Anolis sagrei: one gene and its partner. The protein of the gene in region 2 binds, or shares a complex with, the protein of the main gene of each other region. Links are inferred from orthologs where the notes say so. Each region holds a gene or a part of one and is shown on either strand. Other genes may lie near its edges.

Region 1 (7,456 bases), on a different chromosome or scaffold from region 2:
AGCAGAATGTTTATCACATTTTCAAGAAATAGATATTACCACCCAAAGACTGCCCCACACCCACCCCAAAAAGCAACAACAACCCACTCTCATTAGGTCCAGAGTCTAAAACTATCCAACTGCGACACAAGTCTCAGATCCAAGTTCTGGAATGCATTCCTCAAACAGCTTCTAGCATCCATATCCACCATGAACTTCCACATGACTGGCACAGCTGCTATGACATTTTTCAACTATCATGTATTATGTAGGAAGCAAAGGCAAGTATGCTGTCCTTTTGGAGGGGGTGTAGTGAAAATACAGTGTCATTAATAGGAACTTTCAGACTGGAAACAGAAAAGGATGGAGGGAAAGTGAGGGAAGTCCACTGGTTTTCTGCTGCCCTGGAGACTAGGACACGGAACAATGGCTTCAAACTACAGGAAAGGAGATTCCACCTGAACATTAGGAAGAACTTCCTAACTGTGAAACCTGTTCAGCAGTGGCACTCTCTTCCCAGAGTGTGGTGGGGGCTCTTTCTTTGGAGGCTTTTAAGCAGAGGCTGAATGGCCATCTGTCAGGGGTTCTTTGAATGTGAATTTCCTGCTTCCTGGCAGGGGGTTGGACTGGATGGCCCACAAGGTCTCTTCCGACTCTAGGATTCTATGTAGTCAAGGGACAAAGGTAGCCAAGGCCACCCCCTCCCATGCCCCTTGACCTGCATGGCAGTGGGTTGGATTGGATAGCCTATGTGGGCGCTTCCAACTCTAGGATTCTATGACTTGTGCCTGTCATAGCTCACAGTTTGGATATTGATGTACCTAAGGCAAACCTTTCACAGGATTTTGAGGAACCTGATATAACCTTTAGCCCACGGATGGGCAAACTTGAGATCTCCAGGTATTTTGGGCTTCAACCCCCAAAATTTGTAACAGCCGGTAGTATATATGTATAGCAGGTGTGGGTAAGCTTGAGCCCTCCAGGTGTTTTGGACATCATCTCCCACAATTCCTAACAGCTGGTAGTATAGATATATAGCAGGTGTGGGCAAGCTTGAGCCCTCCCAGGTGTTTAGGACATCAACTCCCACAATTCCTAACAACCAGTAGTATATGTATAGCTGCTGTGGGCAAGCTTGGGTCCTCCAAGTGTTTTGGACATCAACTCCCACAATTCCTAACAGCTGGTAGTATATATGTATAGCAGGTGTGGGCAAGCTTGGGCCCTCCAGGTGTTTTAGACTTCAACTCCCACAATTCCTAAAAGCCTTAGGCCCCTTCATTTCCCCCCTCTGCCACTTAAGGGGGAAGGAAGGGGCCTGAGGCTGTTAGGAATGGTGGGAGTTGAAGTCCAAAACACCTGGAGGGCCCAACCTTGCCCATGCTAGAATTAGCCCATTCCTTGGTTACTGTTGTCCCTCAGACAGGAGAACCTCTCACTGGGTTTTCTGAGGCTAAGCCTGTGCGACTTGGACAAGGTCACCCAATGGCTTCCCATACTCATCTCCAGAGTCCAAGGCTCAAGCCTGACCCTGGTTTGCCTACCTTCAAGTGAACTGAAGTGGAGCAGTCCCAGGTGCCATCTTTTAAGCACCGCCACCCTTTAGTCCTTTTGGCTGCAGCTGGCTCCTGCCTTGGATGCCATCCCACAGGAGCACCATGGAAACCCACTCAGGGCTTTGGGTTGGCTAGAAAAAGGGGAGGAAAAAGAGCCAGGGTCAGTGTGCCTTGAGGCCAGATCGGCAGCTCCCTCCCCTCTCAAGGCAGGCAAGCAAAGAAGGAGACCCGCAGCCCACTTCTTCCCTCCCTCTCTGCAGACTTTGGGCTATTTTTAGGCAGCAGAGCAAACAAGCGCTGTCCCCCAGAGCAGGAGGAGGAGGAGGAGGAGGAGGAGGAGGAGGAGGGGGGCAGACCCACGTCGGGCAGAGAAGGGGAGGAGGAGAAAGCATCCGCAGAGCCAGGGGTGCGTTGCTCCTCGGAGAGCAAGGCTTTGGCGACCTCCTGCTGTCCCTGACAAGAGCCAACGGGGAAGGGAGGCGGGAGGGAAAGGGCGACAGCTGGGCACCCCCCCCCCTTCTCCCTCTCTCCCAGCTTGGCTTCCCACCCAGAAGGGAAGCGGCCAACCGCAGCCTTCCTTTCTCCGCTCCTTCCTTCCTTCCTTTCCCTCCCTCCTCTCCCCGCCCGCGAGGGAACCATTCCGACGTGCTCGCGCCCCCGCGGGCTTGACACGTGTTGCGGGCCCGCGCTCCCACATCCAGCCTTCCCTGGCGCCCATCTGGCTCCGCTGCCATTATAATCCATCTTGGAATATGGCCAGTTTGAACCGCATTATAGGAGCCAGCACTGAGAGTGCTTCAAACTGCACTGCATGGCAATGTAGACGGGGTCCCTGCCTTCCTTCGGCTTCGGCCGTCTTTGCAAAGCCCACTCACCTTCCTCGAGGGGAGGGTCACGGCGTTGCGTTCGTTTCCCCAAAACGAAGGGGGAAAATGGGCTTCAGAGAATGCAACCCTCCTTTTCCTCCTCCTCTTCCTCCGGCTGCGGTTTTACACTGCTCTGCTTGCCCTTTCCCCAGCATCCAGCTGCAGCCGCTGAGCCCAAACCCACCGCGCTCCACTGAAGTCATCCCGCTCCTCCTCCTCCTCCTCAGTCCTCCCCTCCCTCCTCCCACCCGTGGATCACTGCATTTGGCTCCCACGCAATGAGGAGAGGGAAAGGCTTCACGAGAGGGCAATGAAGCAAGTCTTTAATGCCCCCCTTCCTCCTCCAAGGCTGAATTCCAGGACTAGGGCTGTGCTTTTCCCGCCCTGGCTAGCCCCCCCCCCCCCCCGCCAGGTGTCACGTTACATCTTCCCGTCTCTGGGAAAGCATGAAGAAACCATACTGGGAATGCCCCCCCCCCCCCAATAAAGATGTGAGCCTCCCTACCTCCTTTTGCGCCGGCTTTGGAGCCGCGGAGGGTCTTTCCTTGGAGTGCCCTCGGCCCCCCCTGCCCGTTAAGCCCGACCTGATGGAACGTGTATTTGGAAAGGGAGGGAGGGAGGGAGGGAGGGAGGGGGGAGCCTTCAGCTTCCACTTCGATTTTTTAAAGGGGAAGCAGCCGATTGGCCGCGAGAGGCGATCAGATTGTGACGCGCAAAGAGCCTTCGCCCCTCCTATTTTTCTCCCACCCGAGAGAGCGGGGCCTGGAACCAGGGAGAGGGGAGAGGAGGGGGACACAACGCACACACACTCCAGGGAGAGGGGAGGGGGCAGCGTGGGGACTTCGTACACTGCTGGTTTCCATTCCCAGAGGGTTTAGCTATTAGAGCATGTGGGCTTGGGGAGCTAGTTAGCATCCAACACTTACAGGCAGCTCTACCGCATTCCGCTGCATTTCTAGACCAGGCTTCAATGCTATACCTCAGACATGAGCAAATTTGGGCCCTCCAGGTGTTTTGGACTACAACTCCCACCATTCCTAACAGCCTCAGGCCCCTTCCTTTCCCCCCTCAGCTGCTTAAGGAAGGGGCCTGCGTCTATTAGAATTGGTGGGAGTTGAAATACAAAACACTGGAGGGTCCAAGTTTGCCCACGCCTGCTATACATACGAGGGTTGAATTAAAAGTTATGCCTCCACCTTCGGAACTCCTCACTAGATGGCAGTACTGTGCGCAGCAGGTACTGACTTGTTCAGTAGACTCTCCTCTACAGTTCCATTTTGGTGGGAAGCCTTAGTTAAACCTTTGTGCCCGCAGGACTCCTGACCAAAAGGTCGGCGGGTTTGAATCCAGTGAGCAGGATGAGCTTCCATCTGTCAGCTCCAGCTTCCCATGTGTAGTCCAACACTTAGTTAAACCTTTGTGCCGGCAGGACTCCTGACCAAAAGGTTGGCGGGTTTGAATCCAGTGAGCAGGGTGAGCTCCCATCTGTCAGCTCCAGCTTCCTATGTGGGGTCATGAGAGAAGCCTCCTACAGGATGGTAAAACATCCGGGCGTCCCCTGGGCAACATCCTTGCAGACGGCCAATTCTCTCACACCAGAAGTGACCTGCAGTTTCTCAAGTCACTCCTGACATGGAAAAAAAAAGTTTGTCTTGAAGGCTGAAAGAATGGCATGCCCAAGGTCACCTACTGGGTTTCATGGCTGAGCAGGGATTTGAACCCTGATCTCCAAAACTGTAGTCCAACACTCAAACCATTATACCAGTCTGACGCTTCAGGCTAGAATGTTTTGCAGACCTACTGTGAAGCAATACACCGGGGGGGGGGGGGGGGGAGACTTTAATAATATTTGCCACTATTACACCTAACCAAAATCAACCAGTGGAGCTCTTTCAAGTGACCAGGAATCTATTACTGTATATGTAAGCCCACTGTGAACAACTTGCTTGACACTTTACAGACAAAATTGTTTGGGAATTATAAATGATATAAATCCAGTGGAGGTAACTCTAGCCCCTGCTTACCCAGTGACAATGGAATTCTTTTCAGTTTTTGCAACCTAAGGATATGAACAGGATTCATGGAGGAATGAGAGCCACTATAGGTGTGTTAGATATTTGTCCTTTCTGGTGGAGTGGGCACAGGGAGTTGTTGATACCTCTCTAAAACAAGGCAGAGTTGTTAATAACACCAGTATTTACAATAACACAGTTATTTCCCAGCTACAATTATTTACACATTAGATGAGTTATCTAGTTCTATTTCAATCTTATTTCAAGCCTGGGTGTGAGTCAGAGATGGCTTGGGTTGTCTTGACTGATGGCCTATGCCAGGAACTAGACAGGTGGAGTGTATCCCTGTTGGCTCTGCTGGACATTTTAGCAGCTTTCAGCAGATATATTTCAGGGATGAGACTTGGAAGTGCTGTTTTACAGCAGGTTTATTTTTCCAGTAAGGTGACAAATCCATAAAGTAGTAGTGAGACCTTTCTTTTTGACCCCTTGGTTGCTGATCTGAGGTTCCTCATGGTTTGGATCTGCCCTCCAATACTGCTTGGAGATGTCATTGGGGGTTTTGGGGCCTGGTGTCATCAGTATGCACGTGATACTTAACCATATTTCTCCTTTTCACAAAGCAGGAAGCCCTTTCAGTCCTAATATTTTGCCTGTTGTCAGTAATAGATTGGATGAGAGCAAGCAAACTTGAATTCTCATCTAGACATGGCAGAGGTGTTCCCATTCAGTAAAAGAATATGGGTTCAGCGTATTCTGGATAGGGTTACACAATATCTGTTTAAGACACAAGCCTGAAGTCTGAGTGCACTCCTGGACTCAACCCTGAATCTAGAAGCTCAGGTTTTGGCAGTAGCAAAAATTTGGCAGAAATTAAAATTTCTGTACACCTGCAACCATTCCTAGAGATGTTGGATCTGGCCACAGGTACACACTGTTGGATCTGGCCACACTTTACCCATTCCGATTACTGTAATATTTTCTATGTGTAACTGCCTTTGAGGAATATTTGAAAATGTCAGTGAGTGAAAAGTTGCAGACATATTGTTAGCCATGGAACACTTACTTACTTACTTTACTTAGGCGATCCCTCGTTGGACGAGTAAGATGGTCTTCCATTATGGATTTCCTTGTGGGTCCGTATGTGGCTGTGGAGCCCTATTCTTGCTCTGCATCTTCTTCCGCAGTGAGGGCATTGGTTTCCAGGTGGAAGGCGGTCCCGGTCGGGGTTGGCTTGACGTGCTTTCCTCCTGGCACGTTTCTCTCTTTCACCCTCCACTCGTGCCTCCTCAAATTCTGCAGCACTGCTGGTCACAGCTGTCCTCCAGCTGGAGCGCTCAAGGACCAGGGCTTCCCAGTTCTCAGTGTCTATGCCAGAGTTTTTAAGGTTGGCTTTGAGCCCATCTTTAAATCTCTTTTCCTGTCCACCAACGTTCCGTTTTCCGTTCTTAAGTTCGGAGTAGAGCAACTGCTTTGGGAGACGGTGGTCAGGCATCTGGACAACGTGGCCGGCCCAGCGGAGTTGATGTTGGAGGACCATCGCTTCAATGCTGGTGGTCTTTGCTTCTTCCAGCACACTGACGTTTGTCCGCTTGTCTTCCCAGGAGATTTGCAGGATTTTCCGGAGGCAGCGCTGATGGAAACGTTCCAGGAGCTGCATGTGACGTCTGTAGACAGTCCACGTCTCACAGGCATAGAGCAGGGTTGGGAGGACAATAGCTTTATAAACAAGCACCTTGGTATCCCTACGGATGTCCCGGTCCTCAAACACTCTCTGCTTCATTCTGGAAAATGCTGCACTTGCAGAGCTCAGGCGGTGTTGTATTTCGGCGTCGATGTTGACTTTGGTGGAGAGGTGGCTGCCAAGGTAGCGGAAATGATCAACATTTTCTAATGTTACACCATTAAGCTGTATCGCTGGCATTGGAGAGGGATTGGCTGGTGACTGCTGGAACAGCACCTTGGTTTTCTCAATGTTCAATGACAGGCCGAGCTTCTCGTATGCTTCTGCAAAGGTGTTTAGAGTGGCTTGTAGATCTTCTTCTGAATGCGCACAGACGACATTGTCATCAGCATACTGGAGTTCTATAACAGATGTTGTTGTAACCTTGGTTTTGGCTTTCAGTCTGCTGAGGTTGAATAGCTTGCCATCTGTCCGATAGATGATTTCCACTCCGGTGGGAAGCTTCCCATCAACAAGGTGAAGTATCATAGCGATGAAGATGGAGAATAGAGTTGGGGCAATAACACATCCCTGTTTGACACCGGATTCCACTTTAAATGGGTCACTTTGGGAGCCACTGCTGTCCAAGACTGTTGCCATCATGTCATCATGGAGGAGCCGCAGGATGTTCACAAATTTGCTTGGGCACCCGATTTTTTGGAGGATGGTCCAGAGAGCGCTGCGATTCACTGTGTCGAATGCCTTTGCAAGGTCGATGAATGCCATGTACAGAGGTTGGTTTTGTTCCCTGCATTTTTCTTGGAGCTGTCGTGCAGTGAAGATCATGTCCACGGTTCCTCTGGAGGGGCGGAAGCCGTTCTGGGATTCTGGGAGGGTGTCTTCTGAGAGGGGCAGAAGGCGGTTTGCAAGGATTCTTGCGAGGATTTTCCCAGCAGAGGTTAGAAGGGAGATACCTCGATAGTTTCCGCAGTCTGTTCTTTCCCCTTTTTTGAAGAGGGTGATGATGGTGGCATCCTTGAAGTCTGCTGGGATTTTCTCGGTCACCCACACTTTTTCTATGAGCTGGTTGAGTTGGTGTGTCAGCTCAGGTCCTCCCTCTTTAAAGATTTCAGCAGGGATCCCATCTGGTCCACTGGCTTTGTTATTCTTCTGTTGGCTGATAGCATTGTTGACTTCTTCCAAACTGGGCAGTGCTGCAAGCTCATCCCTGGTTTGTTGTTGTGGGATTTGTGAGAGGACCTCTTCGGCCACATTGGAGCTGCGGTTCAGGAGGCTTTGGTAGTGTTCTTTCCAACGTAGTGCAATTGAGTTTTGGTTCTTCAGGAGTTTGGTTCCATCTGATGAGCGTAGAGGCTGTAT
Region 2 (7,093 bases):
ACTTTTAATATGAAATATAAAATTATTCTATTGTATTATTATTAGTATTATATTATATTATATTACATTATATTTTCAATATTATATGTGTTTACACTATATTATTAGCACAGAAGAATATTAGTATTAATATGATTATGCCAATGCACAAAAATTATAGATCTATTTTATAATCTATATTTATATATAATTTAATATAATAATATATATTATTAGATAATAATATTTATATTTATATATAACTTAATATAATAATATATATATTATTATATATTATATTATTATATAATAATATACGCAATAATAATAAAATAAAAATAATTTATAATTCATAAGTTCCTTCCTTTTCCTTCCTTTTTCTTTCCTTCCCCTCTTTTTTCCTGCCAATGACGTCATTGAAAGTTGCCAGCCAATCAGAGCACAGGCACGAGGACCGCCACTTCGCCCGCGAGATTATGCTATTTGAGGCAAGCGCTACAGAAGGGGCGGGACTACATGGAAGACAGACAGCGGGGGCGAGCCAATCAAGCGGGGCCCTTCCAACTCCCTCGCTTTGCCACCCCCTCCCTTGTCTTTCTCTTAGAAATAAAGGGGAGGAGCCAACAATCCCCGCGCGCTGGGTAGAGAGGGGGGAAAAAAGCAAAACGGACAGGCCGTTCAGCCAATGATAGATCTGTATTAGAAAGGGGCGGGTTTTACAATCCTGGCGCGCTCAGTGGAGAAGGGAGTGACAGCATACAGTTAATGAAGAGGCGGGAAAAAGAGTAAGACGGGCAGGTCAGCCAGCCAATGATAAACCGGTATTAAAAATGGGCGGGGTTTACAACCTCGGCGCGCTCGGCGGAGAGGAGGGTTTAATAGAGAGGCGGGAAAAGACGGGCAGGCCAGTCAGCCAATAATAGACCTGTAGAAAAAAGAGGGGCGGGGTTTACAATCTTCGCGATCAATGGAGAGGGGTGTGAAAGCAACCAAGACGGGCAGGCCGATCAACCAATAGAAAAAAAGAGGGGCGGGGTTAACAATTTGAGCGCGCTCGGTGGAGAAGGGCGTCAAAGCATACAATTAATAGGGAGGCGGGTCAAAGAGCAAGATGGACCGGCCAGCCAGCCAATGATAGACAGCTAGAAAAAAGGGGCGGGGTTTACAATCTAGGCGCGCTCGGTGGAGAAGGGCGCGAAAGCATAGAATGAATAGAGAGGCGGGTAAAAAAGGAAGACGGGCAGGGCGGCCAGCCAATGATAGACCGCTAGAAAAAAAGGGGCGTGGTTAATAATTAGCGCGCTCGTTGGAGAGGCGGGTAAAAGAGCAAGACGGGCAGGCCGGCCAGCCAATGATAGAACGCTAGAAAAAAGAGAGGCGGGGTTAACAATGTTAGGGATTAATAGAGAGGGGAGGGAATGCATCCAAGACGGACAGGCAAGCCAGCCAATGATAGACCGCTAGAGAAAGAGAGGCGGGGTTAACAATGTTAGGGATTAATACAGAGGGGAGTGAAAGCATCCCAGACAGGCAAACCCGCTAGAGAAAGAGAGGCAGGGTAAACAATGTTAGATAGTAATAGAGAGGGGAGTGAAAGATAGAACAAGCCCTATGAGGAGCGGCTTAAGGAGCTGGGCATCTTTAGCCTGAAGAAGAGAAGGCTGAGAGGAGATATGATAGCCATGTATGAATATGTGAGAGGAAGCCACAGGGAGGAAGGAGCAAGCTTGTTTTCTGCTTCCTTGGAGACTAGGACGCAATGGAACAATGCCTTCAAACTACAAGAAAGGAGATTCCATCTGAGCATGAGGAAGAACTCTCTGACTGTGAGAACTGTTCAGCAGTGGAACTCTCTGCCCCGGAGTGTGGTGGAGGCTCCTTCTTTGGAAGCTCTTAAACAGAGGCTGGATGGCCATCTGTCGGGGGTTTATTTTTTATTTCTCGTGTCAGGGCAGCCAGTCAATTATATTACATTTCTAACAGAACAAAGCAAACAAACAGAGAAAATACAAAATGTGTGAGTTTGGTAGTTGATTAAATGTCCTTTGACCAGTATCTGGCCACTTGGAGTGCCTCTGGTGTTGCTGCAAGAAGGTCCTCCATTGAGCATGTGGCTGGGCTCAGGTTGCACTGCAGCAGGTGGTCAGTGGTTTGCTCCTCTCCACACTCGCATGTCGTGGACTCCACTTTGTGGCCCCATTTCTGAAGGTTGGCTCTGCATCTCGTGGTGCCAGAGCGCAGTCTGTTCAGCACCTTCCAAGTCGCCCGGTCCTCTGTGTGCCCAGGGAGGAGTTTCTCATTTGGTATCAGCCATTGGTTGAGATTCTGGGTTTGAGCCTGCCACTTTTGGACTCTCGCTTGCTGAGGTGTTCCAGCGAGTGTCTCTGTAGATCTTAGAAAACTATGTCTGGATTTAAGCCGTTGGCGTGCTGGCTGATACCCAAACAGGGGATGAGCTGGAGATGTCTCGGGGTTAACAATGTTAGGGATTAATAGAGAGGGGAGTGACAGATCCAAGACGGGCAGGCCGGCCAGCCAATGATAGACCGCTAGAGAAAGAGAGGCGGGGTTAACAATGTTAGATATTACTAGAGAGGGGAGGGAAAGCATCCAAGACGGGCAGGCCAGCCAGCCAATGAGAGACTGCTAAAGAAAGAGAGGCGGGGTTAACAATGTTAGGGATTAATAGAGAGGGGAGTGAAAGATCTAAGACGGGCAGGCCAGCCAGCCAATGATAGAACACTAGAAAGAGAGAGGCGGGGTTAACAATGTTAGGGATTAATAGAGAGGGAAAGCATCCAAGACGAGCAGGGGCGGGGTTAACAATGTTAGGGATTAATAGAGAGGGGAGTGACAGATCCAAGACGGGCAGGCAGGCCAACCAATGATAGAACGTTAGAAAGAGAGAGGCGGGGTTTACAATGTTGGGGATTAATACAGAGGGGAGGGAAAGTATCCAAGACGGGCGTGAAAGGGATAAGACAGGCAAGCCAGCCAGCCAATGATAGAACACTAGAAAGAGAGAGGCGGGGTTAACAATGTTAAGGATGAATACAGAGGGGAGGGAAAGCATCCAAGACAGGCAAGCCAGCCAGCCAATGATAGAACACTAGGAAGAGAGAGGCGGGGTTAACAATGTTAAGGATGAATACAGAGGGGAGGGAAAGCATCAAAGACAGGCAAGCCAGCCAGCCAATGATAGAACGTTAGAAAGAGAGAGGCGGGGTTAACTATGTTAGGGATTAATACAGAGGGGAGTGAAAGATATAAGACGGGCAGACCAGCCAGCCAATGCTAGAACGTTAGAAAGAGAGAGGCGGGGTTAACTATGGTGGGGATTAATATAGAGGGGAGGGAAAGCATCAAAGACGAGCAGGGAGAGGGGAGTGACAGATCTAAGACGGGCAGGCCGGCCAGCCAATGATAGAACACTAGAAAGAGAGAGGCGGGGCTAACAATGTTGGGGAGTAATAGAGAGGGGAGTGAAAGATCCAAGACGGGCAGGCCAGCCACCCAATGCTAGAACGTTAGAAAGAGAGAGGCGGGGTTAACAATGTTAGGCATTAGTAGAGAGGGGAGGGAAACCATCCAAGACGGGCAGGCCAGCCAGCCAATGATAGAACGCTAGAAAGAGAGAGGCGGGGTTAACAATGTTAGGGATTAATATAGAGGGGAGAGGGGAGAGAGGAGGGAAAGCATCCAAGACGAGCAGGGAGAGGGGAGTGACAGATCTAAGACGGGCAGGCCTTCCAGCCAATAATAGAACGTTAGAAAGAGAGAGGCGGGGTTAACTATGTTGGGGATTAGTAGAGAGGGGAGGGAAAGATCCAAGACGGGCAGACCAGCCAGCCAATGATAGAACGTTAGAAAGAGAGAGGCGGGGTTAACAATGCTGGGGATTAATATAGAGGGGAAGGAACGCATCCAAGACGGGCAGACCAGCCAGCCAATGAGAAGACGCTATCGGAGGCGGGCGGGAGGGAGTGAGGGAAGGAAGACGGGCGTGCGGGCCGTCCAATGGCGAGCGGCGTCTGTGCCTGGCCCTCCCCTTGTCCCGTCATCGGCGCGGGCAGCCAATGGGGCGGCGGGGCGGTTTCCGGGGGGGCGGGGCCGGCCTGCCTCGCTCGCTCCGCCGAGGCGCCATGGGCTGAAAACTAAACCGAGATGGAATCTCCCAGTCTGAACCGGTTTGAGCCGGTTCCGAGTCTGTGGCAGTAGAAGAGGAGGAGGGGGAGGGCTGAGGGGAAAAGAGCGGAAGGCGAAGCACGAAGCCACGGGGGAAGAAGAAGGAGAAGGAGGAAAAGAGAAGGAGGGAGAGAGTGGATGAGAGGAGGGAGTGAGTGAGGAGAAGAAGGAGGCGTGTGTGTGTGTGAGAGAGAGAAGCAAGATTGGCAGGAGGAGGAAGAGGGAGAGGAGAAGGGGGGTTCACCACAACAACAAGGCCAGGTGTGTGTGTTGTGTGTTGTTTACCACAACAACAACAAGGCCAGGTGTGTGTTGTGTTTGTATCTATCTCCCTGTGAGGGGAACAGCAGGCGCCATGGAGGAGGACTGAGGGGAGGAAGGTGTGTATGTGTGTCTGTGTGTGAGAGAGAGGGGTGTGTTGGTGGAAAGAGTTTGTGCTGGTTGGGGGTGGGATTCCTATTTTACACTCTTGTTCTTCCTCCTCTTCTTCTCCCCTCTGAAAGGGGGAAAATACACACACACACTCACACACAAAAAGAGGAAAAAATTGAGGTGAGCAGATCTCTTTCTGGGAGTTGTGTGTTGTTTCTTTTTCTGGGGCGGGTTTTTCTCCCTCTTTTCCTCACAAACCTCAACCTCCTCCTCCTCGTTGAGGGGAGTACTGGGGTGTGTTTGCACAGGCCTCTCTGAGGAAGAGGTTGGGCTTCAGGGGTCAGCGTGGCTTCTGCTTTCTGGAGGGAAACAGATATCTATTGGAAAGAAAGAGAGAGGCAGAAAAGTCAGCTTTCTGGAGAAATATCTATCCTTCAGTGTGTTTTTGCAAAGAGCTTTTTGAAAATATAGATATCAGAGAGGCAGAAAAGTCAGCTTTCTAGAGAAATATCTATACTTCAGTGTGTTTTTGCAAAAGGTTTTCTGAAAATATAAGTATATTAGAGAGAGAAGCAGAAAAGTCAGCTTTCTGGAGAAATATATATCATTCAGTGTGTTTTTGCAAAGAGCTTTCTGAAAATATAAGCATCTATTAGAGAGAGAAGCAGAAAAGTCAGCTTTCTGGAGAAATATATATTCTTCAGTGTGTTTTTGCAAAAGACTTTCTGAAAATATGAGTATCTATTAGAGAGAAGGAGAAAAGTCAGCTTTCTGGAGAACTATCTATCCTTCAGTGTGTTTTTGCAAAGAGTTTTCTGAAAATATAAGTATCTTATTAGAGAGAGAAGGAGAAAAGTCAGCTTTCTGAAGAAATATATATCTAAATATCTATCTATAGATATCCTTCAGTGTGTTTTTGCAAAAAGCTTTCTGAAAATAGAAGTATCTATTAGAGAGAGAAGCAGAAAAGTCAGCTTTCTGAAGAAATATATATATATATATATATATATATATATATCCTTCAGTGTGTTTTTGCAAAGAGTTTTCTGAAAATATAAGTATCTGTTAGGCAGAAAAGTCAGCTTTCTGGAGAAATACATACCCTTCTGTGTGTTTTTGCAAAAGTCTTTCTGAAAATATAACTATAAGAGTAGCAGAAAAATCAGCTTTCTGAAAATATATCTATATATCCTTCAGTGTGTTTTTTGCAGAGCTTTCTAAAGATATATATATATATATATATATCATATAGATAGATCCTTCAGTGTGTATGTGTTTGCTATAGGCCCCAAGCCTTTCCCCAAGCATTTCAACCATAGAGTTGTTGGCAAGGAAGTCAGCTCTCTGAAGAAATATAGATCTATATATCCTTCAGTGTGTTTTTGCTAAAGACCCATTTTCCCCCCAAAGCTGACTTTCAACTTTCAGCATTGCTTTGAGATACTAGTAAGGTTGTTGGCAGATTTCTGAAGAATATAGCTATCTATAGATCTATCCTTCAGTGTGTTTTTGCAAAGAGTTTTCTGAAGAAATAGATATTAGAGAGGCAGGGAAGTCAGCTTTCTGAAGTAATACCTATATATCTATGTGTATGTATGTATATGTAGATTGATATCCTTCAGTGTGTATGTTTGCTAAAGGCCCCAGACCTTTCCCCAAGGTTGGCTTTCAACTTCCAGTATTTTAACCATAGAGTTGTTGGCAGGGAAGTCAGCTTCCTGAAGAAATATCTATCTATATATCCTCCAGTGTGCATTTTTGCTGTAGGCCCCAAACCTTTCCCCAAGGTTGGCTTTCAACTTCATTGCTTTGGAAAGAAAGGCTAGTAGGGTTGTTGGCAGGGAAGTCAGCTTTCTGAAGAAATATATATCTGTATAGCTCTATATATCTGTATTCTTCAGTGTGTGTGTTTGCAAAAGGCCCCAAACATTTCCCCAGGGTTGGCTTTCAACTTCCAGCATTGCTTTGGAAAGAGAGGCTAAGATATTGTGGATTGATTTTTTAAAATATAGTTATATATACACATAGATTGGGGTGTGTGAGAGAGAAGGAAAAAAGAGGTGTAGCAGGAACATCCTTTCTGCACTTTTTTTCATAAAGAGCGGGAGAGTGAAAACGGGTGGAGACTTTGCTTTTTCCTCCCTTTGAGATCTAACTCTACATAGGCCTCAAACACACCCCAATTTTTCTGCCTGTGTTTTATTTGGGGAAAATAAGGGTGTTACATCTGTTTGAATGAATGGCAAAGGCCTGGCCCAAGTTGTAGGTGTGTTTGCAACTTTGCTAGGAAAGTGACTTGACTTCCATGTGCATTTTTTCTCTCCAGTTTGTGTGAGTCGCCCTATTATTATTTTACTCCATCTTTTTTCTCTTCTTTTTTTTTTTGGTAGGTTTGGCTCGTTGTTTGTTTGAGAGAAACAGAGAAGTGTGTATGTGACAATTTAATTATTTTTTGAATGAAAAAAAGGAACCAGACTTCTGGGCCTCACGTGAAATCAGAAGGAGACACCTCTCTTTTGTGTCGGGTGTGAGGTTGTGTGTTGGGAAGCTGAGGCTT

The links.
Region 1: the proteins of XPO1 (region 2) and PKIA are in contact, whole or in part, in an NMR structure (PDB 2L1L), measured with the Homo sapiens proteins. The link is inferred for Anolis sagrei from reciprocal best matches to the Homo sapiens genes XPO1 and PKIA. Residues at the interface, in NP_003391.1 of Homo sapiens: Val518, Lys522, Leu525, Cys528, Glu529, Lys534, Lys537, Ala538, Ala541, Ile544, Phe554, His558, Lys560, Phe561, Thr564, Lys568, Phe572, Glu575, Thr576, Val580; in NP_006814.1 of Homo sapiens: Asn36, Leu38, Ala39, Lys41, Leu42, Ala43, Gly44, Leu45, Asp46, Ile47, Asn48, Glu51.

What each region holds. Positions count from the first base shown.
Region 1 is NC_090024.1:40,119,781-40,127,236, forward strand, and holds the start of PKIA (cAMP-dependent protein kinase inhibitor alpha), read right to left. Parts: upstream 3,022-7,456; 5' UTR 2,907-3,021; intron 2,630-2,906; exon of another isoform or gene 2,411-2,629; intron 1,667-2,410; exon of another isoform or gene 1,524-1,666; intron 1-1,523. UniProt on the Homo sapiens protein: Extremely potent competitive inhibitor of cAMP-dependent protein kinase activity, this protein interacts with the catalytic subunit of the enzyme after the cAMP-induced dissociation of its regulatory chains.
Region 2 is NC_090021.1:12,220,017-12,227,109, forward strand, and holds the start of XPO1 (exportin-1), read left to right. Parts: upstream 1-4,073; 5' UTR 4,074-4,716; intron 4,717-6,926; exon of another isoform or gene 6,927-7,093. UniProt on the Homo sapiens protein: Mediates the nuclear export of cellular proteins (cargos) bearing a leucine-rich nuclear export signal (NES) and of RNAs.